Arabidopsis thaliana: one gene and its partners. The protein of the gene in region 2 interacts with the protein of the main gene of each other region in a pairwise test. Each region holds a gene or a part of one and is shown on either strand. Other genes may lie near its edges. The genes, in order: CML11, APRR2 and CAM8.

Region 1 (9,995 bases), on a different chromosome or scaffold from region 2:
AATAACTTAGGAAAATGAGAACCAAAATTTCTATGGGGACTTAATGTAGCAAGTCTCAACCACTATTAATGGATTCCTCGTTGGAACCACTCATCACATTTTCGTCTACGTTATATATTTCCCGTCAAGAGAAACAAAAAAAATGGCTAGATATGACATAAGGAAGAAGACGTAAGCAACAAAGAGTCATAAGAAAGTGGAAAGATTTGGGAATAAATTGGTATATTATGGCGAAATAGGGTTATGGTTAGTTTACAATTGAGAATTGACCCAATTTTTTAACTAATTTGTGGATTACTTATAGCTGAACACATGTATTTTGCTTTTGCACTTTGTAGATGATATTTTTTGTTTTGTTTTTTAATCATCTGGTTTTCGCTTAACTTTTTTTTATCAAACTATATTTGCTGCACTTTAAAACCTATAGGCCATAAGCCCAATACAAATAAACATATTATGAAGATTCAAGAATGATGGATAGTGAAATTTAACATGTAAAATCTACCATTCAGGTTTAGTTTTAGGCTGTTGGACATTTGTGAAATCGAAAACTTGTCTTGGACATTTGTGAAATCGAAATCGAAAACTTCTTGATAAAAAAGAAGTCCCTAAAAATACATATCATAAACATTTTATGGGGCCCAAAAAATTCTGTTCTTTTTTTTTGTTTATAATTGAGACTTCCGTCGTTCATATAACTTTTCTTCGATAGTACGCTACTGCAATAACAATTATAAAAAAGAAGAAGCATATTACTATAACTTATCCAATGTGGAAGAATCTGTGGTCATTTGTTATTGACTACAAATTATATATAAGTCAATTCTTAATTCTTAACGTCCGTTGACCAAAGTCATTTTATTTGTATTGGGCTTATGTATAGTCGGTCCACTTTTGTTCTCTGAGTCTCTGACGCTGATGTTTTGTTCTTGCAATAGAAGCATGCTTTTCCATTCACACGGATAAAATTTAGCATCATAGAAAGTAAAAACTGTCAACAAGAATAGTGTTCTCTACATTACATTAGCAAAGCTAATTTGATCATTTCAAAGGTCCTTCTTCCCAGCTCATTAGCGTACACAGGTTTGCGTAAGTATCCTTAGATGTAAATCAATCCTTTGTAATTTGTATGATCTGCGATCAAAATTTTGTTAAGCTTATAAAAAAGGAACTACATCAAAATTGAAAACACTACTAACTAAAGGAACACCAACTGCTAAAAAAATCAAACTAACCAAAGCTATTTTATTTATCAACTCCATTAATCCACAACAAACAATTAATATAACCCTAAATCAAATCATTCCCCTTAACAGCTCTTCAATTCTCAAATATTCCGCTCAGATTTATACTATTCAGTCATAAAAAAGAACAAAAGATTGATCCGAAACGATAACGGAATAATACCCATATATATGCTAACGAAGGAGCCTCCTATCCTAGCCTACCAAAAGTAGAAGAAACTGAATCAAATCTAATTCCATTTTCTTAGAAAACTAACTCCGAACAAAGTTGAGAACACAATTTATTAAAAAAAAAATGAATATGTTGTTTGGTCAACATTAGTCAATGCCAGATTTTGATGATCGAAACATCAAAGTATGATGATTATGGTGTTGGCAACATTACTTATGTTTGTTCGTGTATGTCTGTATGTGATGTCAATACTTCGTATAACTAACGAGACATTTTTAAAATTTGCATGTGTGACAATGTGTTCGGTTGTACTTCGTGTAGCTGATAAACATTTTTCCAATATTAAATGGTAGCCAATTTAAACGGGAACACCAAACTCGGAATGCACGAAACACACCAAAACACCCAAATATTAAGCAACACATGCTATGGCAAATATCTTCTATGAGCTTACAACAGATTTTCTTAGTAGCAAATAATAGCTAAAATTTATGCTTATCATTCATTGATAGGCTAGCTATCTTAAACTCCAAAAGTTAAAACTAAATTAAACGAACCAAGACCAAAAACACATCAAAACCATGCAAGCAACAACTATATTTATAAGATAATATCTTTCAGATCTATCATCTGAAAGCCCACCGCAGTCCGCAATCACCACGGGCTTGTTATCCTTTGCTGTTTTAATTATGACCTCCTTCTCAATGTTCTTCATAAGATAACATCTTTCTGACCTATAATCTGAAAGCTCACCGCAGTCCGCGATCACCACAGGCTTTGAAGGCGTCCTTGTTGTCGTAGTTATGACCTCCTTCTCAATGTTCCTCATAAGATCCAATCCTTCAACAACTTTGCCGATCACAACGTGATCACCGTCCACTTGCAAGCCATAGTCCTTCATGTGGATTTGGAACTGAGATCCGTTGGAGTCGGCCATGGAGATGATACCTGGACCGTCTTCGTGGTTCAAGATAAAGTACTCGTCGTCTAATTCTTCGCTGTGGATGGGTTCGTTTTCGAAGATGATATCTCCTCCACACCACATGAGATCGGGAACAATATGGTCGAAGGTTGATCCTTTGTAGTGGATTGGTTTACCACACTTTCCGATGCCTCTCTCGCCGGTACACAGACCCCTGAAGTTCTCCGCCGTCCGTGGAGTCAAGTCAGCGAAGAGCTCTATCACGATCCGACCAGCGGGTTTGCCATCCACGGTCAAATCAAAGAAAACTTTAGGGTTAGCCATTGTCGGAGAGAAATCTAGTATTAGGGTTTCTATGGTTTAGCACAATTTTTATAACGTAAATACCATAATGGAGCAAATAGTTCTTATATATCAATAATATAGATTTTCCTTGTACAATTGCTATTTAGTTTAGGAAAACTAAATCCAACAGTTGAAGGGCTTTATAAGCCCAATAAAGAAAAAAAATCTTTAAGTAATGTTAAAAACTTAAAATTCAGAGAAACTTGCTAGTCAATAATAACAATTTCATATTGGATAATTAAAGCCCAAGTATTTGTGAATCCATCTCTTTTTATACAGTACTTTCGATCACCAAAAAAAAAGAAGTGATGAAGAATATATTCATCCAAATCATATCTCTAGTTCTTATTATTTTAGTATGGTTGAACTCAATGATATGATAGTATATATATTTAGATCACATGTAAATCTAAAACAAATTAGTGGGGAAAGAACTAGTAAAATTTATTTTACATCAATTTTGTAGTTGTAACTGAAATTGTATAAATAGCGGTTGTATAATGCTAAACCTGGTTGGGCTTGGTATATTTCAGCCCATTGGTCCATACTGGTTGGTTATAATTTGTAAATGGCTTATTCGTTGATTATATTCGGCTATTCGTCTCATAGAAGCATATATATCTCTTGGTCAAAGTCACGCACTAAAATTTGGACAAACTTCACATCGACTGAAAGAAACACACTATACATCAGATACATAGTAAGAATCCACACGCCTAAAAGAAAAATCTACTTGTTCAATTGAATATAAAAGCTTAAGATTAATTTATAATGCGATATTCCGAAAAAAGAAGAAGGATTAAACAAATTTATAAAAGATAATACAATGAAGAGTAAAAATGATTAGGATTTTTTAACCATTGATCATCATCATCCTGACAAATTCATCATAATTGACTTGGCCATCACCATCCAAATCTGCCTCTTTTATCATTTGATCAACCTCTTCATCTGTTAGCTTCTCCCCAAGATTAATCATCACATGCCTCAACTGTAATTATATATCAAAATTACAAAGATTATAGAATTACTATCTACTAATGATGTTTATTGTTAAGCATGGATCATGGCCAATGCATAAGATATCGTCCGTCGAATAGTTTTTGTAGATAAATAAATCTATGAAATTCAGAAACAAAAAGATAGGGAAAAAAGAGCAACTCTAACTAAATTGTAAAAATAAATGTAATAGATGAATACTAGTCTTTGTTGAGTTCTTATATTCCAAGAGCAAAAATGTTGAACTATATATTCGAACGAAAATGCATGATTAAGAAGAAGAAACTGGGTGTGAAAGTATAAACATATTATTTACGCTTAAGTGAGACATATGCTCTGCCCAATAAACCAATAGAATCATAAACACATTTTACTAAATGTTATCAATATTTTTAAATATTTCTTTTGACCTCGTTATCTCCAAAAAGTCATAATGCCAGCTAGCTCGAAGCCTCAAACAATTTAGCTTTTTACGACACAAGACACTTTTCAATTAATTAAGAAAAACATAATTAGCCATATCTTGTTGTCATTTTCTGCTCCAAGTTATGAATAAGACACATAAAGGATCTCTTGTAAAACTCGAAATATCGTCTAGACTTGTGATCTGATGTTTTCATTAATTCAAAAGATTCTAACCTTGATTTAGCTATCAATTTGTTGTCATTTTCTAACTAAATGCACAATTGTTGATAAAAATAAGAAAATACATAAATCTAAATTCCGAGCTTGTGTTCTACTCAACTCAAGTAAAATAAAAAATTAATACTATTTGTTTTTTGAAAAATTGGTTCATGTAACGAAACTAGACAAAATAATACTACAATCAGTTAACACATAAGTAACATACTCCTTTTTATGCTTCCAATCATTAATTAAAGGAGTATTAGTATGAATTAGAATTAAGAGAAGAAAGAGTAAATTATTTGCTTACCTCACTGGCAGAGATGTAACCATTTTGGTCTTTGTCAAACACTTTGAATGCTTCTTTCAGCTCTTCATCTGCATCAGTTTCCTATAACCACAAAAAAACAAAAAAAAAACAATCAATATATGTTAAAAACAAATATGCTTCATTGATGTAACATTTTAGAATTGAACCTGGAGTTGGTTAGCCATGAGGTTGAGAAACTCCGAAAATTCGATGGTGCCGTTGCCATCGGAGTCGATCTCAGTGATCATATCTTGAAGTTCTTGCTCGGTAGGGTTCTGATCCAATGAGCGGATCACAGTGGCAAGTTCATCAGCAGTGATGCATCCATCACCATCTTTGTCGAATAGACAAAAAGCCTCTTTGAACTCCATTATCTGTTCTTGCGTCAGTTCTTGTTGTTGTTGTTGTTGTTGTTGTTGTTGTTGTTGTTGTTGTTGTTGTTGTTGTTGTTGTTGTTGAATTTCTTCCATCCAATTAAAACTTGCTTAGTAGTCTTCTTCAGAGAGAAAAGAGAAGAGAAGAGAAGAGAAGAGAAGAGAAGAGAGAGAGCTGAAAAGCTTTGAAGTGCTTCAACTCTCATTCTGTTTTCTTATTTGTAGAAGTCTTTGCGACTTTCTTGCTTTGGACTCATTCACCTTTTTCCACTTCTTTTCATTAAAAGTTATATTGCACAAATTATTGGAAATAAAATACTGGAGTGGCATTTTCGTAAATAAAATTATTCTTTTTGCCATGCTGAAATTAAATAATAATGGCATTCCTGTAATATTATTTTTCCTAACAAAGCAAATAAAGGATATTTTAGACCAAAATATTACTCATATAACTCACATTTTTGATATATCATTCTAGTAATTAAACCTAAAATATGGGTCTCCCTAGTAAATTTCCCAATTATTTATTTGGAATTTTAATTCCAGTCACATGATTCAAAATATTATTTCCTTTAACAAAGTTTTATACGAACTTAGAGCTTTTTTTTTTTTTGAAAGGGATATTTTTAGGCTAACTAGTAATTTGATTGAAACTCTTTAAAAATTCTTTTTGTACTCGTAATATTATATATTTGTTTTCTTATTATACACGGCTAACTTGAAAGCCTTGAAGATCAGAATCACGTCAATATTCTTGAAAGTTACTATAGTGTGGTAAAAAAAAAAAAAAAACAATTTTTGTCGCACAAAATACATATAATACCAAGCAAAGACATTATGCAGATGGGTTGTGAATTGTCTTCTCTGTTTAAATAGTGTTATTTTACTATTTTTACGTAAATTTTTAAAATAAGAAAAAAACTTACAATTTTCTTTGTTACAATATTCAAACTAATTTTTCTTCTCTAAATAAATTAAAAATAGAGAAAAAATTTGAAATTTGATTTAAAAATACAAAATTACTTTTTGTGAAATGAAAGTAGAGTTTCAAAAACGATACTATTTGTTTTGTGAAACCCAAGGAATAGACGAAGAGTATGTAGTAATTTGTTATAGTAAAAAAAAAAAAAAAAAATTATAAAAACATGAAGTATGTGTATATGTAAAATAAATGGGTGTGGGTTTCAACAGCTGTAAGATAGATGACGAGGAGACAAAGAGCATTGAAATAGGTAGACCGAGCACTTGCGTTACGGGAAAACGTGTCGATCTCTTTTATTCCTCAATTTAGTCATTTTCTTGATTTATTTTGAATAAATGTGTAATTTGATAAAACAACCATCATTTATTTAGAAGCAAATCGTACTTTTTGAATCTTCTACACATATATATATATGTTGCCAAGAAAAATGTACATCTTGTGGTTAATCTGTTTCTTGTAATCTTATTTTCAGTTATTGCATTATAATCTATAAATATAGTTCGACAGAAAGAAAAAAAATCCTAAGTTTCACAATTATAATTTTTACAAAATATTTTTTTTTAAAATGTACTTGATTAATTGATTATGTAAGTTACATTTGAAATTGTATGAAGGTGTTGCAATTTGCAAAGTTCATCTAAGAATATTTTCATATTACTATTAATAGTTTGCGACTTTGTGTAGATAAAGACTTTTCTAATTAAATTAAAAGCTGACTCAGCTTCAACGAATCACACACCATTTTGTGTAGACTTTGCATAATGATACCGACATCTAAATGCATGCTTAAACTTGTTGACTAAGCTGAATTGGCCGTGTCGCAAACAATCATTTAGGTTCTTAATCAAATTAGCCATTGTGGAAAAAAGACAGAATCTAATGCGTAAGAGTGATTAAAACAATTCAGAATCTATCTGGACCAAAATCAGACACACAAAAAAAAAAAGACATTTTGATATGATTCAGTAATATTTCTACATATGAAATACGTAAACCTGAAACAATTTCTTAACCCCTTTAACCTATTACCTATACAAAAGAGGAAATTAAGTTTATCTTTAAATTTGTCCAAAAAAAGAAGAAGTTAACTTCAACTCGGATAGGATTTCGAAGTGTTAAATGATCGCATTGAATCCTAAACTATTAGAATTTGAACCTCATATATTATGGTTTTATTTCTATACAAAATTTATGACTAAAATTCCAACTGTACAGGGATCTGGTGATTCCCAAGACCTAAATTCAATACTATTGAACTTTTCCTCCATCGCAACATGTTGACTTGACTAGAATGTAGATATTCGAAAATATTAAAGGGAGGAAATGATGCATACGATAACGATACGAATATACAATCATTTAAATGAGCAAGTTCTTTTTTTGATTGATATGGTCTTGATAGAACTTAGTGATTTAATAACTTTTGTACACAACAATTTAAATAATCAACCGTATTCTTGTTTACATGGTCTTGATATAATTTAGTAATGCTAGCTTTATGGTACCATTATCATTACACTAACTATTACACAAGCTTACGTATAGTGTTTGGATGCGTTTTGATTTTGTAAAGTCAAAAGTGCTAAATGTAAAGTTGTATATGACCCAATTAATGTTATTGCTTTTAGTTTTGTCTTTTGTATTTGACCTTTTTTGTCCCGCAAAGATTATTGTAGATGTTGAATGGCATCTTTTAAGGGGTTGAAAACAATTTAATGCCGTATATATTAAGAAGGTACACTATAAATCGTACTAGTGTGTTTTTGAGTACACATTTACATAATGATGTGAAATAATAGTTAGATTTAGTTAGAGTACTTGTCATCTGAATTAGGGTTAAAATATGAGGTCTAACCTAATCCCAATCTGATCAAAGAGACTGAAAAATGGGATTTTTTTGCCATTTAAATCTATATTATTTAGACCGGTTCATCATACAGTATATAGTTGGTTTACTCTCTATTTTAATGGCCATGGACTCATGGACCTATTCACTGATTATTTCCTCATTAATCAATTTTGTCAAAACTTTTGGTTATGATTAGTTTGAAGTCAAAACATGTACTTTTCTTTTTTTACAATGAAGACTATAAAAAAGAGCAACATCTATACAGTTTATGTTATACCGATTAGTTCTTAATGAGTATGAATAAAAATTTCGTCACTTAATGTTTATAAATAGAAATGGAAAATATGATAAACAAATGAGAATTGTGATAGACGAAATTCTAAAAGTCGTCCAAATATTGTAGATGGATTTCGTGGTCCTTTGTACATATCATGTTGACGTACGCAATTTAACACTATTTCATCATTTCTCTCTAGTTTTTTTTTTTCTTTTTTGGTTAATTCAAAAATGTCAAATTGACAATGAGAAGTGTGTGGTTCATCCGAATTGATCTCTCCTAATTTGATGTATATTCTATCAAATAAATAAACAATCGAATAATTAAATTATTTCAGTATCCAACAATTGATTTGTCTTTGGCCTTAATCTTTTTTTAGTGACTGAAATTAAAAATGGAAAGAAAACAGCTCGCACAGCTTGGTACGCGGTTTCACTCTTTTGTCACCCGTCCAAGATCTTAATGAGTGGTCGAGACTCAGAGATGGCATTACAGATTCATCATATGTAATATTGTACGGAGATTATTGCTATAAAGATTGATAAATCAAACGTAGTTTCGTTCTCTTGAAAAGGTTATAGAAACTGACATTGTCAGTCGAATACTAGCTGACCCACCATGCCACCAAGTAACTCTATTTTTCTTTGAAATTGCAATTTTGATTGTTAAATGTGGTTTATGTTTATGCTTATAAACAAAGAACAGTCGTTTAATGACCAAAAATAACACAGTGAAGAAAGCCATAATGGGCCGTTAAACATTTGGTATACAGGCCCATTAACCTTTAATCGACCTTCCTCGTTTACAACTTTTCCTCTTCGTCTCTGTGAATTCTCTGAACCCTACCAAACAAACTCCAATTCGTGTAAAAAATGAAACTTGCTCGTCAGATTGAAGCAATGACGATCTCTCATCTTCCAACGGAGTTGTTAGGCCAAGTCCAACGCCACGGGAAAACGTTAAAATAACGTGGGCATGTTTACTTTTTCACTCCAATCAGACAGTATAATTTGCACTATAATAGTGTGATTCTCTTTTTTTTACAGTGTAACACTATATTTGGTGCACTATTATAGCCACGGCAAATATTAAAATAATAATTTTTTCTTTTGTGTTAACATTATTATATATTAAAATAGCTTATTTAGTTATAATAGATTATATATGATTTGTAATGAGATTTAAGTAATCTAACTAAGGCTTGTAACTAAAAAATAATTTATAAGTACTATTTTTGTAATCTTTAATGTAATAAAATGATGGATTAGTAGAAAATATTAAAACTAATACCGAAGTTGATTGAAAATACAATAAAATAAATTATACATTTATAACATAATTAAAAAATTTAAACCACACAAACATAAAAACTAAATGCAACGAGATATGTTTTAAAAACATAACAAAAGCTTCACAAATGGTTAAGGAAAATTATTTCCGGTTCCGCTAAGATAATTATAATATTGGGTAAAATCTTCTTGGTTATTTGGTGATCTTTGGTCTTCACCTTGATCCGGTTCTCCTTGAACTTGTTTTCCATGAAATGGACTTTCTTGATAATGAGATGCTCGATATTGAGATCCATGATATTGGGAGCCTTCACCATCTTCTTCATGTTGGTTTGTTTGCGCTCTTTTTTCCAAAATTCTTTTTCTCTCATTTTCAATATATGCACGAGAGGATGGATCAGTTATAGAATTCAAATCTGCAAATAATATTTTATTCTCTTCTTTCATTCTAGCTACCTCGATCTTCTGCCTTTGAATTTCATTTCTTTCAGAAGTACCTTTAGTAATAGCTTTGATAAGTTTATCATTTTGCTCCAAAAGTTGTTTAAACTGTTCTTCAGATTGTTGTTTTCGCTTTGCTTTTTTCAAACTCATAGGCCTTGAAGATA
Region 2 (12,597 bases):
ATCAATGTAACACGTACCTATACTATTATCTAGACAATGGAAACCTTATCCTATATATATTACACATTAAAATATATGGAGCTCTTAACAAGAATCGTTCATAGTTTGATATGTAATTACAGTTATGAAGTAGGGTGATCCATCGTCTTAATATGCATGTTTATGTTTAACTAGCTTATATTTTAATTTTCACAATATAGGATGTCCAACATGATTTGTTTAAACTTTAGACTAAATTTTCATTTGGGATTAACTACTACTACACTTGTTTAATGATACTATATATCTAAATATTCATATTTTTTGTTAGAATTTCACATATGAAATAAAATATGATTTAACATATGAACGCACCTCTACATTTAGCATTTACAATAACTATCATATCTCTACAATATCTTTTGTTTTATTTTCTTCTGAAACAATCACAAACACTTTTTTTATTATGGATCTACTACCATCAATGGAATGTGTAATCTTCACATCTAATATGTATTTCTGAATAATCTCATTTTTTCAATTATTCAACCATTTCATTTTACCAAGTTCAATGTTAACCAGATTAGTCAATATTTATATATTTCGATACAACAACAAAATGTTATTTGTAACATATATAAGAGATATGAATTGATCACCACTAATTATCAATTGATTTTAATTTGCAAACTCATTATATTAATTATCGGGTCTTGATCGGGTAGTCTTGTCACTGGGGTAGCTGTATTTCCTCAGCCTCAGTCTCTAATCCAGCAATAACACTCTGGTTTGGTCTCTTCCATGATCCCACTCCAAACTAGTCTTCTGTGTCTCTTTGCCTACGTATGGGTTGTACTAATTAGCTCTGTGCTCTTATTCCTATCTGCTTTTATTCTCCTCCAAGTATAAACTGCTAGCTCCAAATTATGTATTTGTAAGAGAACACAAAAGATAAGAGGAATACTATATAGTTTCACCACCCAAAAAAAAAATCTCATATATAGTATCATAAGTTTATAACCTAATTGATCCAATGTATATATATTTTCGGATATAGGTTTTGCGGATGAATAACGTAATTTCTAAATTAATCAAAACTCAATAACTTTGATACTTTCATTGAAAATTAATACAATGAATTGTTGAACCAAAAAAAAATTGATACTATGAACTATATATATTAACGTAACACATAAGTAATATAGCCCTAACACTTAAGTACTGGCGGATCTCAGGTCTACTAGAGAAAGATATTACAAGAAAACCACCCAAATATTACATTACACATATTATTATACTATATGTGCATGTGTAATGCAATATGTGTGGTGTAACATATATGTATATGTGTGTGTAACATATTAAAAGTGAGAATTGCGTGTGTACGGTGTTGTACCAACGAGTTTGTAAATATATTTGGCCCCTCGTGAGCCCAAGGGAGAACACTTAACGATGGATATGTTTGAGTTAAACCTTCAAGTTGACCCCATAATTTTTAGAAAATCAAACTTGAAGAGATCTCAACTTTCATTTTCTTTTACAGCTCAGTCCTAATCATTCAAATTGTAAAAGTATGTGAACTAATTACGTACGACCCACACAATAGCATATAACTATTTAGCTCTGGGACGTAGCAAAAACAAAAACGAAATATACATCCTTGTGAAGTGATTACTCGGCCCTACGTCCATCTTACAAGTTCACAATTATGCTTTGTTCTTTTGTTTGAGGAATAAAATGTCAAAACATTTTAAACAGCAGAGGATTGCTATTCTTGGATTTGTTGTGTCTTTTATAGATTCAACTTGTTGGTTGCATGGCTTGCGTATTTGGACTTATGGTTTTAGGCACAGTGGATCTAGGGCTGAGTTAGCTATTATTTAGGAATAGTAATTTTTATCTCTTTTTTCCTGTGGACTTTGGTCGACGTATCTAACACAGTAACACTCCGATGGTAAAACAAATTATTTAGAGTATGTTTTTTTTTCCAATTCTGAATTTTCTTCTATCGGTCATAAGTAGGGATCATAACACAAAACGTTTTTTTTGGAATATATGGCGACATTGAAAAAGTTATTGATTATTGAATATAACACTCTATTTAAACAAAATTGTAAGAAACCAGATAAAGTTTATTCTATATAAGTATTAACGTGTTTATCTCTTTTTCATAAGAAAAAAGCTTAATGCGTTACAATAAAAATGATAGAGGGTTACATACTTACGTATATAGAGAGGTACGGTTGAGAAAGAGTACATACACGTTAGTACGTTACAGAAAGATAAAGAAACTTATGTGGAATATTTGTTATATAAAACCTCTTTTTAAGTCTTGAATCGTAATCAGCCTTAAAGATAAAGAAAAAGCGTCATTTGGGGTTCAAAATGTGACTGATACAAAGAATAGGTCGGGGTTGAAAATTGATAAAAACCAAAATTTGGTTGATGTCGGTTATAATTATAGAGTACCGTTACAGTACCTACAAACACAGCTGTGAGCCACTGATCTGACTCGTCACTACTCACATAGCAACCGGCGACGTTTTTGTCCCTAATCGCTTATCTTCTTACTAACAATTTTATACAAAAGTTGCAAAAAAAGAAACAAAACAAAATTGATTTGTAATAAAAGTCATTGGTCTTTATCTGTTACAGCAATGCAAACAATGTGATATCCCAAATATGAAAAATAAAGTCGAATATTCGCTTTTTATTACAAGAGTTGAAGTAAAATAGTATTACAAAAATATTATAAAAAGGAATAAAATGAGGGTGATGTTGTTGTTTGCATACAAAATTACAAATTGGAATGTGAGAATGAATGTGAGATCTCTCTACATCAGAAATCACTATCTTTTGCTCCACACTTTGGTGATTTCAGAACCATACGGGTTTGAGAGAATTGGAGATCCCACCATGCAAGAGAGTGGCATTATCATCACATATTCGTAGTATGGACCAAAAACTTAGTCTAGAAGGAAATTAAACAAGGGTTTCTAGTATTGCGTTTTTAGCTGTCTAATAGTATTACATTTGTTTTAAAAAAAATATGCTTAGAGCATTTGAAGTGAGTAAAGCGTTGTAAAATACAAATCAAACGTTGATTGCTGAGTATTTGTAATGTTTGAAGCAATTAATATGATTCAAAATATATATAGCATATACGCCATGAACTTGTTATATTCATTGCTAAGTAAGAGTGTTCATGTTATTTTAAAACGCACTTTCTTCTATTGTATTCGTGGCTTTCACAATGTCTTTGAGTGAATGATGCCGACGCTCAAAAATTTTCTTATCGACCGTTTAAATGCTTTGAACGCTCACGTGAGAATATTTTTTATACATTGTAATAAAAGGCAAATTACATATAAAATAAGTTAAAAGTGACGCCAAAAAAAGGGGAAAAGAAGTAAAAGAGAAGCACAATAGCACTTAGAAATTGTGGACAACTGAAATATGTGTGTCACAATGTTACACGGCTACTTTAACAAAAAAAAAACAATGTTACACGGCTAAGGAGTTGCAGTCTCCACCATTGAGCTTCTTTTTCTTGGTCCACAATGCACTTCTTTTATCAATTATGTGAAAATGTTTAGTGCATTTGTAGCTAACCAGACATATACAGAGAAGTGTCGACAAAAGAAAAAATACGATTACGAATTCGTGCATTACACACCAAAAATTATGTATGCATTGGTAAAAAAATGTCCTAGAAAAATAATATGACTTGTATGTTTTGAGGGGAATCTTCTGTTCCGAAAACTTGTTTAAATTTATTTTGGTTGACAATTTGGTTAGAGTAAAAACAGCCTATTCAGATAAACTGAATCATGTGATTTGGTATAATAAGCATGTTATAAGTTCGTAAACTCTACAAAAATAGTTAGTCTCTAGTTGAGTTCCACCGAATAAAATAACGTGTCTAATAAGACTCCAAGTTCACATGATCATATATATATATATATATATATATATATATATATATATATATATATATATAAAATTGCAAGCGATTTTACAATTATACATCCACTTGGTTTCAGATATTATATTTGCAATATTTGTTTGTTTTCTAGCTCGTAGGATCTTCTGATTTTTCTTTTTGGTATACATTTTACCGAATTTTAATAAATTTCCACTTATATTGTCATACTCATTACTCTTTTCTCTTGATATCTTCTGAAAATGTTATCCCCTGGACATTATGCTGCGATAAAGTCATCAACGAGGCCCAATTCTGAACATCTTCTTTTTAGGCCCAATATAAAACGTAGTCTCTCTATTTGTCTACTTCGATAATTTTGTTAGCACTTTCTTGTGCTTTGTATAACGCAATCAGTATGTATCACATAAGTTAAAAATAGAAATCCAAACACATCTAAGTAATGTAAAACATTTTATGTCCGATGTGAATAAGTGTATATTTGTTCTTGGCAAAAAAAGAAAAGAAAAGATGTATATTTGTTGTTGTTGTTGTTGTGTGTATCTTGGAATTTATAGAAAAAAAGAACAAAATGTCATCACGGAATCTTTGAGTTGTACCTTTTTATTATTATCATCATCATATCTCATATCCACCTAAAACAGTGTCAACTATTAAATTCTCGACAACCCACAAAAGCGAGTACGCACACACGTCAGATTCCGACTTGTCAAAATCCCGTGTCCGAGATCTACTTACAGCCGCAGAGTCCACTTGTGGTCCTCAGACTAACATCGTTGCCTCTATCTCCACCGTCCGATCTTCTTTAATAATACCAATAGAGACAAATGTTTTTATGACAACAAAAAATTAAAAACAACAATTAAAAAACAACTCTCAGGATCCGAATCAGTTCCCGCTTCGGATCGTCAGACACGGACAAGTACGCCACGCATGACGTCATCATATCTGCGGGTTCTGTTTCATCATGGACACGTCAGCGGAGACGATGAGAGCCGTTGATTAGACAAGAAGAAGAAGGGACGGCTGAGATGCCTTGACGCGTTAGCTCAGCCAAAACGCTCTCCGCGGACGGCGGTTTTAGCCCGAGCGGTAGCGGCAGCCACGGTTTGCTTATCGCTTCTTTAACCACTTGATCTAACATTTCCTCGTCCTGACCCGACCCATTTACATCGCAACCCGACCCGGCAAATTTTATTTTTTATTAATTAATTAGGAATTTTTATGTCTTAAAAAGAAAATAGAGAATTGTTGACACTAACCGGCTGACTCGCCGGCATTATTTTGAAGCCGGTTTCAGCTCCGTTGGGATATTGAAATCCGCCGGCGGTAGTATTCTGCAACAAAAAAACAAAAATCTCTTTAAAAATTAAAAAATAAGATTTTTGTAATGATTAAATTTCCATAAATATAAAGTTTAATATTATAGATTGTGAAAATATTCACCGAAGGAGTAATATATGATCCGGTCACAGGCGGTCCAACCGGACAACCCCATGCATTACCGCTCACCTGAAACATCATATATGGACGATTTAGCTATGGATGTTCTATCATAATGTCACAAAATATGTCTATATAGAGAATGCATTAGCTAAAATGTATAGGTATGAGTTCATTTTATCGTTTAATTTGTAGATATGTAATGACATTTTCTTGTACAGATAAATGTGATTTATTTTATTTTAGCTAGAATCTTTGACTTATAAAAAGATGTTACCGTTGGATAAGGTGGTTTCCAATGCCACGGAGGTGGTTGACCAATGGACTGCAGCGGCGGTGGCCACAAAGGTGGAATCGCTCCTGGCGGATAAACACCGGGAAGACCCCAAACGGGATAAGCCATCACGGGACGGTGTTGCTGTTGAAAAACGTTATAATTACGTTGATTTGGTCTATGGTTCTCTCTAGATTGTATCCATCTATGGTTATGATCATCCTTTGGAAGAATATTCTTCCTATGCTGCCGAAATTTCTGGTCAAAATTTTCAAAAGTTGTGTAACATTTTACAAGAATTCAGAAATCTTGCGAAACATTCGACCCTTGGGATCTAATTACCTGAAGGTGACTAGCTACATTGTGTCTTGTTAAGGTGCCTACTTTCATCAACTCAAGAATCCGCGAGGGTATCGCTTGATCAACGCCGAGTTGCTCAACTGCTTGCACAAACTTCTTGTGCAGCTCTGGTGTCCAATCCACCTGTAGAAAAGAAAGTAGTAACAATGATAACGAGAGCTTGAATCTTTTAGCACTGAGGAGCGTCAAGAGAAACACAACGTTACCTTCTTTCGACTAGTTTTGTTACCAGACACGTTCTTGATCCCGGATGATTTATTAATCGGTTTAGTCTCATCTTCTTTCTTATGAATATCAACTGAATCTGTCTTCTCGCTTATGAGATCTCCGGTTTCACCTTCTTCTTCTTTTTCACTGTCTCCTCTCTCTTCTTTGACAACCACTTTGTCGTCATCTAATTTGCGGTTTGTAGTGTCGACTGATTTAGATTCACCGATGTCTTGATGATCTTCCATGTTATCTTTCTCGGTCGAGGAATTTACATTTTCCATCGAGAAATTTATGTTCTCTTGGCAATCACCGTCTAGTAACCGTGAATCTTGTTTCAATTGCGGTGTTGATGGCGCTGGATCTTTCTCCTCGATTGTCATGTCGGTCTCAAGATGAAGCATCGAGACAACGGATTCTTTCACTGGCTTAAGTGATATCGAAACATTACTTCCACCATCATTGAATGCCTAGCAACATAAAAATGTAACAACAACTTTCTTAGATTATGATTATATTACCGAGGAATTAAAGACGCGAAAAAACTAACTAAACCTTATGAACAACATGCTGCCAAATGTTCTTTAATTTCTCCGGTGAGAGCGGTTTTTGTAGGAACTCAACTGCACCAAGCTGAAAAACACTTATCAATTCTCATCATCACATAACCAACATTCTTATACATCTACGCAAATGCAAGTCGCAATCACTTACCGCTATGCATTTCATTGTAGTAGTGATGCAATGATCGGTTGAAATCACTGTAAAGACATAAAAGAATCCACATTTTAACAATCTTTTCGTATTGTAAAGATTTGTGAAAAAATAAAAAGGGTACTTGTAAAAGGTTCACAAACTTATAGTAGGAAGAACGTCTTTGGCAGCCTCAAGAAACTTGAAACTCTCACTCTCAGCGCTCATATTCACCTCGACGATGGCAATGTGGAAGCTCTCCGGGTTCTTGACAACCGCAGAGAGTGCTTCAGTTTCATCGGTGAATGTAGTAACTGCAAGAAAGTTCCAAAAAAGCAAAAATTGAATCTATAATCTTAACATTATGTGTTTGATAGTCAAAACACACAGAAATCCATAAACAGTTTCGAGATAATTTGGATCCTGGTTCATAAATATAAACTAACAAAAGTCCAAAACATAACTGCACAAGCTTTTACTACTTATGTACGTATCAACTAAAAGCGTTGCATTTTACATATTAATATTATTTTTCCCCCTATATATATACACAATAATGGTATAATTCTATTCATAGGCTATTGACCAATCTATACCTGTGTATGTCTGTGTGTATTTATGCAAATATAATAGAAGGCGATACAATTTAGAATTGTCACGGGACATGTAAGAGCTAAAGCAACTCTAATATTAAACTAGTATAGTCTCACTCACATAACTTATGATTAAATATTTATGCATAACCACTGATTAAATAACCTTTAAAGTAAGAAACAGAGGAAAATTAGTGGCTTACCGATATAGTCCATTGATTCGAGCTCTGATCGAGTCTCGGCGGCTGAGGAGCCATCTCCGTCGCTGTCACAGCCGTTGAGGAGAAGAAGAACCTTAAGTCCTTTAGGAAAATTTTCCCATTTTGATAAATCGTTAGCGGTAATGACCATAGCTGGTTTTGCATCGTTTTTGCGGCCAACACCGCCGCTTTTCGCCGCCGTCACTGTCGCCGCCGGTTTGATTCTACGGAAAAAAAGTAAACACTGGCTAGATTTTATTAATAAAAAAAGGGGAAATGAATAGAATAAACAAAAAAATTAGACAGAATAAAGATACAAGAAAAGTAAATATTCAAAAGGTGTGTGTATTATTGATGAGATAAGAATAATTCATGAGGAACTTGATTTTGTTATTTATAAAGAGTGGACCACCATGCCATGAAATCTAACAAAGCTTTTGAATCATTTAAGAGTGAATATATTATTAGTTTAGTGTTGTTTAACTCGTGCATGCAGTGATTAGTTAACTTAACAACACAGACTAATGACCTTTAACAAATACTAAAACATAGGCTTATGACAACTAATGAAGGAGAAAGGCAAATCCCTAGAATTTAGGGAAATTGAGAGAGAGATATATACCCAGAGAGAAAAAGAATTGTGATCAAATCATAAGTTGCACTTTCGATAAAACTGATGTTTTTTTCTTTCCATAAGCAGAAGAAGGAGAAGATCTTATATCCAGATAAGAGATCATGCTCACATCACATGCAATGAACATGTAATTGATCAAAAGAAAAGCTTTGGAAATTTAAAACCAAACAAACAAACTTTCACAATTCAGAAGTCAAATGAGTAAATTCATATTTTAGAGTTCTCACCTTACCTGAGAGAGTGTTTCTTGCAGATCTGCTTAAATCCTTCCTCAAGCTCTCTTTATCTGTCTCGCCCTCTCTCTATCCTGAGTCACATTCAAAGTTAAAAAAAAAAATAAAAAAATTTGGGGGGTGACTTTGAGAGAGAGAAAATGGATGAAGAGTTATAATAAGTTGGTGACTAGTGTTGTTCTTGTCATTGGGTTATGCACAGAGATAAAGAGAATAAAAAGTCTTACTAAGATAAAGGTTAACTGAGGTTAGAGGAAAAAAGAGATAAGGATTAATTATTATTTTTGTCTTTATTAATCAATATATAGGATTAATTTCCTATAACAATACAAGAAAAAATCTAAACCTTACCAAAAAAAAAAATCTAAATCCCTTAATATGTCATTATATCAAAATTAGCCTAGTTTTATTAAATGTAGACCAATAATTTTACAAAAATATAACAAAATTTATTGTCCGGTATAGAACTATACCCATTTGTACCAATCAAAACGGTGCGAAGTAAACCGAACTAACATGATAAGAAAACTCTTTTAAAAGCTTTTTTATTAACTAATGAATATATTCTACTAAATGAATGGTAAATGAAAACATAACAAACTAAAACAAGCAATATTGTGAAAAAAAAAACAAAAAAAAAACAAGCAATATTCAGCTTTCATTTGGTTCTAAGTTTCAACAATGTTTCTGCATTTTAAAGAACAAATAATCTAATAACCAAAAAATTAATCTGCACTAAAAATCTTTACCATAATCATTATCACAAGAAAATAATGGAAAACTTTATGCCAAAATATAGATCATATATGTATTTTTATTGATGGTACACTATGTTTGTGGAAAATAATTATATATGCATAAGGTAGGGAAAGAAAAACTTTATTTTGCAGAGGTTCCATCTTTCAAACTCGTTGCCCAACTTTTATGATGACATGTGTGTGTGGTTTCAAAGCAACAGTTGAATTTAACCAAACTTCTTAATTTAATTAAAACCTATTTCCTTTTACTACTATATATCTAGTATTACTTAGGCTAAACTATATTCAGTGTGCACCCAAAAAAAAAAAACCTTACACTAAACTTTAAAATTCAAATTGCGCAAAAATCTAGATTAGTGAATACAGAATTAGTGTAAACACATTATTCTTTTCTATTGTCATTAATTGATTGTTAGATATAATTAATTACAGATGAAACAAATAGCATTGATTGTCCTAAATTCATAATGAGGTATATTCAACAACCAAACGAAACTTATATAGCATTTCTTGTAACGGCAAATGGAAAACTTTAGTTTGACCATATCCAATTGTGATTATTATTTTAAAACAGAGTAAAGTTATGAATTGGTAGTCATTAATGTCATTATTCTTACTCAATTTTAATAGTATAAATTTTCTTACAAAAAGTTCACCAATGTGATTATTTTGAAAAAAGGCAAAAACATAATATAATGGAAAACTTTCGTTAGTAGATGGTCATTTTTTACTCATTGGAATGATCATTGCTTTCGCTTGTTCGTTCCTCCGTGACCATCCTTTTATTTTATTTTCCTTTTAACATAATTATTCAAACTTCATCGTATTCTTTTGAGGTCAAAATTGGAGATGATCAGATGTTTGTTCTTTGGGGGTGAAAATAAAAAGCTTCATTACTTATAAAAACCGTATGAGCAAATTATATGTTATGTATGCAAGGATAAACATTTTTCTTTTACGATACTAAAGAGATATTCGGTAAAAAATTCTCCAATAATACATAATACACGTTTTTTTTTCTCAAGAAATTGAACATCAAAATTGGAGTAAAATAATGACATTAAAGACTCAAGATTGGAGTAGAAGTAAATCTCAAAACTAGAGATTTCACATCAACAAATAATGTTTATGCTTTGTAAATTACAAGTTTCCTTTTTTTGTTTTTTTTGGTCATCTAATAGATTATATTGGATACTTGGATGTGTTGACGAAAGGCAGGTTACAAATACTTGAAAACTAAATGAACTGAATAAACGAAACCTACATGACCCGACTAAATTAGCCCGGACCTTCAAGAAACAAAAGCCAAACAAATCGAAGACCAAAACCGGACAAATCAGATAATTAATAGACACACTAAACCGTCACTCGCAAAATGAGAATAAGTTGACAAAAAAACATTTTCAGACATCAAAAGCCAAACAAAACCCGAGAGCTAAAACACGGAGAGAATTAAAACTTATTATCAAATAAGTATTTAGTCTATGACTATGCGTATCTTAACTATGTTGCATATACCGGCTTTTCAGGAATAGTTTGGAGCAATTATCATGGTTTGGAGTTCTATCAGTTCTCATACTCAATGAGATAGGAGCAATGCGAAAGGTTTTACTTGTTCCTCTCCACAAGATGAATAAGGTAAATGTCTGTCTTCGTTCCTTAGCTTTAAGTTCAGCTTTCTTCCGTTTCTCATTTACCTTAGTTGAGCTGGTCACTGTGAAGAACTTATTCAACGTTGTATTTATGAAGCTTGTACGTAACGGACCAATCGAGGTAAGTTGTAACAGCTTATTTAATTGAGCCAAAATAAGAAAGAAAACAAAAACATTTATATATGAGCCTATGAAAGTAACGTAAGAAATACTGAATAGCCCACAGTTTTGCCTCGGATTTCAAATGGTGGTCTTTGTAACTCAAATCTCAAATATGAACAAAATCTTACAATCAAGAAATAAATTATGTTGTTTTGCTTTATGTTTGTTAGGAGTTGTTCGATACAACAGTTTAATATATTTTTATCAAAAAAAATGTTTAGTTTAGTTTCAGTTCAAATCTTTTTGGTTTTTGGTTTTAGAATAATAATCAAAAATAAAATCGAATATATACCGGTGTTTTCATACATTTTAAACACAATTTGGAAAAGAAAACGATGAGATATATATTTATGTAGTCTTCATGTTCCACATGAAATAGACAACTAACATTTGTCATATTTATGTGTTGTATATGTAATGTAATTGAATGAAGTTCTGACTTTTTAGGTGTCCCAATGCTATTCTCTTTTAGTTTTAGCCACACAATTTTCAACTCGTCTTTTTATTTCTACTTATAAAAAGATAAGTTTTTTTATATATATCTCAGTGGGGAAGAAACTAATTTGAAATCTCTTGCGTTATATTATGATTAAAAGAGATTAAAATAATTGCTTTTAATTTCTAAGGTTACTATGATGAAATTTTTTAAAAGTAGTTACTAGTACTTGTTGAATCATTCAAATCTTATTAGTCCGACACAAGATAAACTTAAGATCGTGGTCGTGAAAGAGCTTTTTTCATTTCACGTGTCTTGTAATCTAAAAGCGTTCATTGAGATAATTTACGTGTTTCAGTGTTACTCTATATTTGTGATTTGGCCGAATAAAAAATTAATCACGGCTCCTCTCTTCCGTTGTGTACCATTTTCTTTTCCCTTTGTATACCATATTGATTTCAATTTTCAACTATCAAAAGTAATTAGGTATCTACTATTTTTTATGTTTGAATATTATTCTCATTTTTGTGACCTCCTTTTTCAAGGAATGGGTGCTTCAGCATTTTATAAGCAAGTTAGGATTATCAAAACTCGACGGAATCTTGTTATTCTTGTAAGGCAATGTATCTCAAGGTGGTTGACGATATGTCATCAGTTAACTTTCCGCCAGTTCTAGTGGTTTATCTTCGCCATGGAACTCATTATCTTTAAAATGATTTTTTTTTGTTTTTTTAATATCTGGAAGTTCAACTCCAAAAGTTCTACATTCCGAGGCGGAATTCACACCAAGTTAAATTCATCTTTTTTGGAGAAGAGATTTCTTCTAACGTGCCTTGAACCTACTACCTTCACCCGAGAAATTTACCACTAGGTCAATAGTTCGTTGGTTAGGATGTTTAGACTTCTTTATCTATTTTCTAGTAATAACTTTTTCTCTTATGGTTTCGTTATCTGGATGTTGTAGTTCCTAAAAATACATCAACCTGTGTATCTTTTATTATCCATGTAAGTTTAATAGTTTCCAATTTGC
Region 3 (10,208 bases), 1.6 Mb from region 2:
ATTATTCTGAGAAATTGGGAGGAAATAAGTGAAAGTGTGGATTGGGTTTTCTCTTTTCTGTATACTTAAATTGGGATTTTCTGTTTGAGGGGTTTTTGATAAAGTGTGGAAATTTTTTTACTACCTGTAATTTTATTATTATTTTCTTACTAAATATTATATGGGCATGGCTTTCTCACAGTCTCACTTTTCTTTTTTTTTACATAAATCATTTTCAATTATTCTTTAAAGTGTCTAGACTAGTGGTTTAGCCATTAGATATTTTCGTTTGAGTGAAGGAGTTCAACTCCTCACTTTCATGAGGAAAATAATATCCAAATACTTTAGCATTCACATAAACTCAATATGCTGCTTTGTTTTAAGATTTTTTGCATTTTCCACAAAAAAAATTGTGTTTCGTATTCATTCGCTAAATATAATTCCAAAATCATATTGAAACACCTATAATCAAAGATTGCAAGAAGAAGAAAAATATCATATCGAAAAAGCTATAATATAGAAACAAACTATGTATAAACAGAATTCCAAAATCATATAGAGAAAGCTATAATATAGAGATTATATTGGATTTGACAGCTTCACAAGTGATAAAACAAAACTGGATCTGAAAATTTCAATGAATGTGGAATAATGGAGAATTTGTTGAGATGGTGTGAACACGAAGTAGTAACAACTAACAAGGTAATTAAGGATCATTGGCTTATATAATAAATAGATTTAGAAAAAGTAATCAGTCAATGTTGATCATCATCTTGACAAATTCATCATAATTGACTTGGCCATCACCATCCAAATCTGCCTCCTTTATCATTTGTTCAACTTCTTCATCTGTTAGCTTTTCTCCTAGATTTATCATTACATGACTCAACTGCAATAACAAAGCTTTTCAAATTAATAAATAATTAACGTAATTGTTAGTCTAATTATTGTAAATTAAGTTGTGCATGTTAATCAGACGGGTCTGACCCTGTACAGAGAATAATAATTGTTTATTATCCATTTGAATATGCAATACAATATAGTAGGTCAAACGGCCTAACTTGAACAATTTCTAATTTCGGTACGAAAAATATGAATAAACCAAATTCATACAATTGTTTAGTTTTTTTTTTTTTAAGTTGTAAGCAAAATACAGCTGGTTTTAGCCTAAGTTTTGACCAATCGATATAGAAAACCCCAAATTAATAAATTGAATTGTGTTGCATGCAAAAAGGTGTCTGCATTAATGTAACTTTTGAGGATGTAAAGAAAGGTATATATATTTAATTAAACTAGGTGAAACATGTGCCCTCCTGTCAAATAAACCAATAAAATCAAACGCATTTTACTCTATCTAACTACTTTGTATTAAAATTTCTTTTGTTCCTCTTCGTTATTCTCTAAAGATTCACAATGCCAGCTAGCTCTAAGCCCTCACGATGGAAAACAGACTTTCGAAAATATAAAATCAAATAAATAAATGGCCATGTCTTGTTAAAAAATGTTTTAGAACATAAATGAGACAACTATGGATCTCTTTAAATTGGAAGATCGTCTGGCTTTGTTGTCTGATATTTGTCATTGATTCTACATATGTGAAAGTGTGTTTTAGCTGGATTTCTCGTTTTTTCTAGTTAATGCAGAATTAATTGGTCCAAGTGGTTACATAAAAATACTATGCTCATAATTATTGTGCTTAGCCTGTATTTGACGACACTTTAGAGATATAGAGCATGTACCACTTAAGCAAAGAAGACATTTATGAAATTGGTTCATGTACCTAAACTAAATTTGACAATAACCAAAATTTAGATAAGGATTTCTAGTAGATACAAAAATCTAAATAATTATAGCTCTAATCATTTATAACCAAATAAAAACACAGTTAGACCGTACATGGTATTATTGGAGAACGTTGTACAAAACGCAATCCAGTGCATCGAACTAATTTGTTTTTATAAGTTCTTAAAGAGGATTTTCCGCATAAGTTCCCTTTTAAGTTCTCAATAAGTCAAGCATATATCTAACTAAATATACACATTGACACATATATCAAATTAGTAATAAAGAGAGAAAAAAAAGAGAGTAAGAGTCACGGACCTCACTGGCAGAGATGTATCCATTTTGGTCTTTGTCAAAGACTTTGAATGCTTCTTTCAGCTCTTCCTCCGCATCACTTTCCTAAACCATCACATGATCATGACAACAACTTAACATACAAAAAAACTATTGTCATAAAAGTCTTTGTTTACATTATACACATTTACGTGTCTAGTTCTTCACAAATCAGATTTATTCGTAGTGAAAAACCGAAAGCAAAACAGATTTTGCTGTAATACAAAAGCTGAATATTTCCAATATATTTCTTAAGAGTTTTTAATAAACTAGAAGCATAATGAATGAGACAGCTCCATTTTGACTAGAACCTGTTAGGATCCCATATCAAAGAGTTACAATAAGGGACCTATAACATAATATATAAGAAATCATATAGACAAAAAAATTTCACTTGATGTAACTTTTTGGTTTGTACGTGGCTACGTTAACTTGATGTAATTAGTTGTGAAATAAATAAGCATGAGAGATCAAGAGAGAGTGGAACCTGAAGTTTTTTGGCCATGAGGTTGAGAAACTCAGCAAATTCAATGGTGCCGTTGCTATCAGAATCAATCTCAGTGATGATATCATGAAGTTCTTGTTCTGTCGGATTCTGATCCAACGAACGGATCACTGTTGCAAGTTCTTCCACCGTTATACAACCTATTAAAGGATTCCAAACAACCATAAATAAATGTCACACAACATAATATTAGTCGTCGTCTTTATTATCTTTATTCTATATATGACCATCTAGAGAAAGGAAGAGAACCGTCGCCGTCTTTGTCGAAGAGACAAAAGGCTTCTTTGAACTCAGTGATCTGATCTTTTGTCAGTGCTGTTTCTTCCATTGTTTTCTGAGAATATTTTGAAGACAAAGAGAGAGAGAGAGAGAGAGGAGGGAGCTCAAGGTTTGAAGTGCTTAAATCTCTGATTTATGGTCTATATGTAGAGTTGTGACAAGACCTTTTCTACATTGGACTTATGTACTTTTCAACTACTTTAAGCTCTTTAATTGATTCTCAAATTATTTTAAATTGAAAGGGCAGTACTGTTTTTTTTTTGGGTCTAGAACTCTTGGATTGAACAATTTAATTCTAGTCACATGGCTGAATCCCATATAATAAATTAATAATTGTCGCTGTTTGTTAAAGTTCAAATCACTTGTGCAAAATTAGTTTTGAAAAAATCATCTTATTCTAACAAGTAGAGACTACTACAAATAGACATAGAACGACAAGTCCTAAAACAAACAAGTATAAGCCTACAATAGTCTTTGATAAAACGTCCCTAACTTTTTCTGTCTAGTTCAAACCCATTAGCCACTCATTTTGTACGCAACAATTATGTTCTTTTGTTTTTTGTTTTTTTCTGTTTTTTCTTAAATAAAAATAAAAATATTTTATTGAAATGATAAAAATATAAATTTACAATCAAAAGATTTTAAGCCTATACAAATGATCCTATAACAAGAAAAATAAAACATAGAAGCATACATCGTGATTCACAAGTTTTGGTCAATCAACTCAACCAAAGCGTTGAAGCCGAACGAGTTAGATAAAAATATGACTATTTTGAAATTTTATCTTATAATTAAGTTTTTTGTTTTTTGTTTTTTTAAGAAGAAGGGTAACTACTGCTTGAAAAAAGCATAATGCTAAACTATTTGCATTAAAAACTTTGAATTGGAGGTCTAAGGATGAGCCGTCAACGGTAGAAACTCAAAGTTCTCTGGCATAAACTCCTCTCGCGTCATGTGACAGTGACTCGTTGTTCAAGTCCATAAGCTTTCCAATAATATGGAACCTCAAGAACCAAATTATGCGAACGATGCAAGCTCCATCTACCAATTTCTTTCCCCAAAGTCGGATAGAGCAGAGCATGATTTATGCGATTCATAACCACATCGAACACCATCGATCTTACTAACTCTTCTAGAACACAAAACAAACGCAACAAGAGGTGATAACTCATTGCAGCACTAACTTCAATTATGAAGAACCGCACTAGCAAGACACATTCAAAACCAGGTAGCACAAATAACTAGTCAAGAAATACAAGTGATGTCAACAAAAGAGACCGCAATTTAGCCACCACCGCAGCTACCAAATACACAATCTGAGAACCGAGACGATGCGATAAACTTGACGCTTTAAACATGTTCTTTTGTTTTTTCTGACTTCAAAATCAGTGATCACACTCTTTTAATACTCAGAAAGAACAACATTGAAATTTGTCTACGTACATCTCAACATAATGACCTCATTGGCCATCTTACCCGCTCCTGTCCATAGAAGACATATTAACGTACAACTCGACTGTCCATAGCTGTGAATGCATTAAGGCTATGAAGCTTAACTTGGCCAGCATGATTTTGTAGAATCCGTGCGTTCCCACACAATGATTTAAAAGTTTATCCACACAAATCATTCTATTTTCAAATTTGTTCCGATCGACGACATTTTCTAGAATTCACGGAGGTAGGAATTTTGAGAATATTACAGATTCATTTGAATCACATATTCACACCACTTATTTATTTTCCTATACATTTTGTTTGAATAATTGCGACTGTTTTTATATAACAGATGAAAATATATATTCCACGTCACATATCATAATTGAGAAGAATATCTACTGCTAAAAGATTGTAATCATTAAGAAGAATATCTACTGCTAAGAAATAATTTAGGAGATACTTGCTGACTTGCATTGAATCTGCAATTGGTATTCGAACAGTAGGGGAAATGCATGTATCATACGTTGCATTATAAGTTCATAAGCACGATATAAGAAAATAATTATAAATAAACGATTAGACGTAGCAAATTAACGAACCAGCAATTTCTTTTTGAAACGATTCAACTTTTCATATTTTGAGTTTCTAGAAACGAATTGTAAAAACAAAAAAAAAAACAAAATTATGGGGCTTTTCTTCATTAGTAATCTTTGCATTTTTACTCTTCCTAGGTGGGAAAATAATTCAGGTTAAAATATAGATAAAATATATTTGCAACCTTAAATAGCTCACTTTAGTAATACTTTTTTGACCCCTTTAATTAAAAGAATTAACATAGGGAAATTAACGAATATTTGTTTTATGTCATTGCAATTACAACAAAATATTTAGACAACGAAGTACGTTGTCCTTTCGGCTAATGGAGTAAAGAGGAAAATGAAACTGATGGGCCTCAGCACAAACCAAGCCCAAGAAACAAAAGTGGAAGCAACGGTCATCTGGTTCAAGCAAACAGAGCTTAGAAGTTTCCTCAAGTAATGACAAAAGTGGAGCTGGCAATAAGGAGATAACGACTTCTTGTATGGGAAAGCAGTTCAACATTAAGCTCGAGAATCGTTTCTCAACCCTTGATTTAGAAAACTCAACCTGATGTATGACATCTGTCAAATCTCTCTAAGGTTTAGCCAAGTCTCCACCTTTGTATTTAAACATCCTGAAACTCAAGTTGTAAGCTTTAAGCATTCTATCAATGGAAACCTAAAAGGATTGATTTTGTCTTCAATGTGAAGCGTCAACTTAGATATTCTGACTAAGAAAAACGACACGACATGATATTAGAACTGATAGATATTTGTGAAATATGATGCATGGTTTTTCTCTTTCTTTTTTTAAAGAATAGAATGCATAGTTTGAAAATGAGCTTTAGCTTATTCACATAACAAATAACATGAGACTATGAGAGAAGAAATTTTATATTTGCCACTAAAATTATAGGTTAAAATTCAGATTATACTCTTGAGTTTTTTTAATCCCAAAAAACCTCTCGTATTTGTAACCACTGTATAGAATTTTCAGTAACTAATAAAAAATGTAGGTTAAACCAGCGGTTATATATGATTTTGTATTTGAGAGATTATGTTTTGGGGAAAGCTTCGATAAAAATCTATATATCTGCTTAATTGCGTAAAGCATTTGCTAGATTATGCGTCTAAGAACAAGCCTATTAATCTGCTGATTTTCTCAACCAAGACATTTTCATTCTTGGGTCTTGGACTATGGTTTGCTAAACAAATATGTGAAAAAAACGATACTTTGCTACTTACTGGCAAAATGAAAATCAAAACTTTTTTACGTCTTTGGAAATAGTTAACTCTTGATGATTCTTTCTTGCACTATTTTATTTAAATGCTTGAGAGAAGAAAATTTCAGTGAGAAGCTCACATTTGCATTATTGAGATTGGGTATTGAAATACTTTGGATTTTCCTTGCATACATTCTGTAACGCTGCTTTATCCATTTGGGGAAATCAATCTAAGAAATATTTATTGTTAACTCTCCTTGTTTGGGTATTATTATTCTATCGTCACACAGTAACTCTGATCTCTTCTCCACCCAATGGCGGAGACATAAATATTTTTTAGGAGGGTCAAACTTATCGTTAAATTTTTCTAAACATTCTAGGTATTTCTAAACTATTAGTTATTTTTCATTCCCACCAAAAATAATAATAATTGTTTTCATAGAAGCAAAAATAATATCATCATTCTTGTAAAGTTCATAAATTATTGTTGTTTCTGGATATAATAAAAATACTTAAACTTTTTTTTGTGAAAATACATGAGTAGGTCACATGTTATTCTTTGTTTTCTATTTAAATTTAATCTAAAATACTGGTAAAAGAATGATATACATTTTTGTTACTATAAAACATTTCGTTACCCACACATATAGATTAGTTTTTGTGTATCTAAATTCATGTTTTTTATTAGTAATATGAATTTATAATTATATTTAGTTAATTTTATAATACAAGAATTAACTTTTTCCTGAAGAAACACGAAGGTTATGCACAACATGCTTAATAGTTTAACACAAATAGAAAATTAATTAATCAATGACCAAAATATTATTAAGATAAAACAACAACCAACATCATATACATGTCACAGTACGGCTGAACCATGCTTGTATTAATAAAGTAATTCCAAAGACTATATTTCTTATTACATTATTAGAACCTGGCTTGTAAATTCCTGACCGCATTAACATCCATTTGGAATGCTCTTGCAAGAACATTCGGGTCTACATCTGGTTTAGACCCAAATATTGTGTTAGCAATTGTGATAACACCTGCGTTTTGGCTGCTCAAAGCAGCGATTGCAACTGCTGGAGTTCCTCCTAGGTTGAACTGGAAATGGATGAGTCCTTCTGGAAACACAAATACGTCACCCACGTTGAGTGTTTTGGCGAAAAGACGGTTTCCGTCTTGGTTTGATGAGATAAACCCTACAAGTAGAGTTCCTTGTTGAACAACCAAGATCTCGGTGGCACGTGGGTGGGTGTGAGGTGGGTTCTGACCGTTGGGTGCATAGTCTATACGAACAAGTGAGATACCAAGAGTGTTTAGTCCTCCAAGGTTGTTAACATTGACGGTTGTCACGTTGGACCCAACCGCGTTATTTGTATTTCCAGGTCTGTTGAGGCTCGAGAAAAAGAAATCATCCGCGAAAACTATCCTTGGATCCTTGCAAAACTTTCCATTCACAAACACTAGACAAGGTTTTGATAAAAATAGAGTATTAGTAATGCATAAATCAACATACAAATATATTTAATAAATTAAAAAATGATCATGTGCTTACCGCCATCTGCTGGTGTGTTGACACCAACACAAAAGTCTTGAAGGGGGCTTGGATCGGAAGCAATTACTAATGGAAGTGTCAAAGCAAAGAGAGATAGAGCCGCAAGAAAAGAGAGACTTTTTATCGTCATATGTATGTATGGAGACGATTTGTAGAAGACAAAAAGGTTTTTGTTAGTTTCTTATTTGTGGTGTCAATGAAGATGTGATAAATTTATGAGACAAAGAGTTCAATTTATAGATGATTTTCGGTTTGAACAAGTCCATATGTATGTATATTCCAATGTAATTTTCATTGTCTATAAGTTTGAAACGGTAAAATGCTGTTGAAACCGTGTTCCCTCAGGTCATATTATATTGAGAATTATTTAAATTATTGTATTGTTACCATTGTTAAGTGTAGCTTTCATTATCTCGAAGTTTGAAATGGTAAACCTTTAACTAAACCGTGTTGCATCAAGTCGTATTATGTAAGGAGTTATTTAAAACATTATCTTGTTACCATGTTTACGTTAGTAGTATCTTAATTAAACACACAAAAGATCTTCAACTGAAAAAGGAGGCACTTGAAATTTAAAATGTTAAGTGTCGGCATTGATAGAGTTATATAAGTTACTTATACTGCAAGAGGGTTTATTCAATAATATGATTGTTTCTCAGGTTTTCATGAACTATACCTGATGATTTTGAGAATATTTGATTATTTTATTTGCATGAGTTTTAGAGTTGACATTGAGAGTCTTTGACAAATGTCAAATGTGAATTTTTGGTGGTTTTGGGTTGCTTGATTCGTTAAGCGATAAAACATGACCATATCAATATATAGATGTTAATAGACTGATCATTGAAAGAGAGAGGCTGTTACTACTTACTTGTCACGGAAGAATATCCTAGTTTTGTAGAGAGATTAGGAAACGCATATAAGAAGATACTGTGAAATTTAAACGCATATATATATATATATATATATATATATATAGTTGTATAGTTATATAGCGTAAAGTAGATAATGTGAAGTTTCATTGAAAGATTTTGGTTTTATATTAAGATTACAAACAAAACATTATATCTTTGTTTTGACAGCTTAAAGAACTCAACATCATGTCTGATCATGTCCCTATAAGATGTGCAAAAACGACTATCGGATTCATATCAAAACAAAATTTGGATTATTTCCCCTCACCACTGACTATCTCATGTACACGGACATACAGTTTGTATATTATAGCTAGCTCATGTGTTTATATTTCACCAAAGTTTTTTAGTTTCGACATTGTAGCTCTTATAACTCACTTAAGTTCTACAAATATATGTTTCGAGTACTAATGAGTTTTCTAATCAATTTGTTTTTGTTAATTATTTCATTGACCGATTGAAATAAGACAAGTAACCAAAGAGGCCACGACAAAGATTTCAAGATACAAATTACAAATACTTCCCAAATCCCAACCAAATCCGTAATACTGGGGATCCACACAAAACAAAAAAAAAAAACAATACAAATATATGAACGGAGAAATGTGGGCTTTTATTTCCATCATTATACTGCCAATTGGGCTTTTACATTAATAACTTTGGCCGACAAAAAAAAAAAAAACGAAACAATCCAATTCCCGAATTTACCAAGACGCGAAACTAAGTGGACTGTGCAATCTCTTTTATACATTTTTAATCGATCGTCTAACAACATATAAAAAGCAAATTCAATTGCAATTCAACAACGAAGGAGTAAAAAGATCAACTTCCCTCCTGCTACGTGGTCCACTCTTATTAGCACAAACATCACTAATTTTCCTGCGAAAAATAGCTGTGTCTATATATTTAAACCTTTTTAATTACATCAATTCAATAAAAACAGAAGAATAAATAAATAATTCCGAAAATCCCGATGATGACTGAAAGAGATATGCCCGATCTTCCACGCCACAGTAGTGGAGCTGTGGAGAAAGAAGACAAAACTGTAATAATGTTCATTATTACAATTTTCACTGACAGTTTTTTTCCATAAAAAGAAGCTACCACAATTACTACTAGCAGTAAAAATAAAAGAAATCTGAAATATAATAATAACAACCAAAAAGTGAAAAAATCAAACCACACCGTCCCACTAAGAGGATTAAACGGTAATTTGCTCTATCACGTAATATAAATGACGTGGCATCATCGTGTCTAGTCAGCTTCTTCTTTAATAACCTCTTCAGCTTCAGCTATCACACTGCACCTATAAAATCAACCAATCTCGTTTTAACCCCAAACCAGAAGAAGAAACAAAAATCGAAATTCTCATCAATAGCAAAAAAAAAATTACTCTTAGATTTTCCTCAAAAACCTTAATCAATCGCCGGGAAAATGAATATTCCGGTGACTATTTCCTCCATTACTGTTTCTAATAACGCTGTTTCCGACAATCGTCGTCATGTTTCCCGTGAAAATCGTCAGCGTTAAGAAAACCGTCACTTATATTTTTTTTTCTTTTCTTCTTCGTTTTTGTGAAGATGATGATCCACTGATTTGAGAGTAGTAGCTTGAGAG

The links.
Region 1: the proteins of APRR2 (region 2) and CML11 interact in a two-hybrid assay, tested with the Arabidopsis thaliana proteins (one study listed by BioGRID).
Region 3: the proteins of APRR2 (region 2) and CAM8 interact in a two-hybrid assay, tested with the Arabidopsis thaliana proteins (one study listed by BioGRID).

The regions. Positions count from the first base shown.
Region 1 is NC_003074.8:8,120,750-8,130,744, forward strand, and holds CML11 (calmodulin-like 11), read right to left. Parts: upstream 5,183-9,995; 5' UTR 5,087-5,182; coding exon 4,784-5,086; intron 4,698-4,783; coding exon 4,617-4,697; coding exon of another isoform or gene 4,605-4,616; exon of another isoform or gene 3,675-4,604; coding exon 3,537-3,674; 3' UTR 3,271-3,536; downstream 1-3,270. Other genes in the region: AT3G22920 (Cyclophilin-like peptidyl-prolyl cis-trans isomerase family protein), read right to left, coding at 1,964-2,662; AT3G22935 (uncharacterized protein), read left to right, coding at 9,642-9,717, 9,984-9,995. UniProt on the Arabidopsis thaliana protein: Potential calcium sensor.
Region 2 is NC_003075.7:9,998,840-10,011,436, forward strand, and holds APRR2 (CheY-like two-component responsive regulator family protein), read right to left. Parts: upstream 8,781-12,597; 5' UTR 8,554-8,780; exon of another isoform or gene 8,315-8,553; intron 7,937-8,314; 5' UTR 7,844-7,936; coding exon 7,696-7,843; intron 7,214-7,695; coding exon 7,064-7,213; intron 6,968-7,063; coding exon 6,921-6,967; intron 6,840-6,920; coding exon 6,762-6,839; intron 6,677-6,761; coding exon 6,206-6,676; intron 6,123-6,205; coding exon 5,982-6,122; intron 5,898-5,981; coding exon 5,643-5,897; intron 5,435-5,642; coding exon 5,369-5,434; intron 5,260-5,368; coding exon 5,185-5,259; coding exon of another isoform or gene 5,152-5,184; exon of another isoform or gene 5,076-5,151; coding exon 4,899-5,075; 3' UTR 4,007-4,898; downstream 1-4,006.
Region 3 is NC_003075.7:8,390,519-8,400,726, reverse strand, and holds CAM8 (calmodulin 8), read right to left. Parts: upstream 3,016-10,208; 5' UTR 2,928-3,015; coding exon 2,849-2,927; exon of another isoform or gene 2,765-2,848; coding exon of another isoform or gene 2,740-2,764; coding exon 2,582-2,739; intron 2,161-2,581; coding exon 2,080-2,160; coding exon of another isoform or gene 2,032-2,079; exon of another isoform or gene 2,022-2,031; intron 869-2,021; coding exon 731-868; 3' UTR 501-730; downstream 1-500. Other genes in the region: GLP9 (germin-like protein 9), read right to left, coding at 7,047-7,585, 7,678-7,807.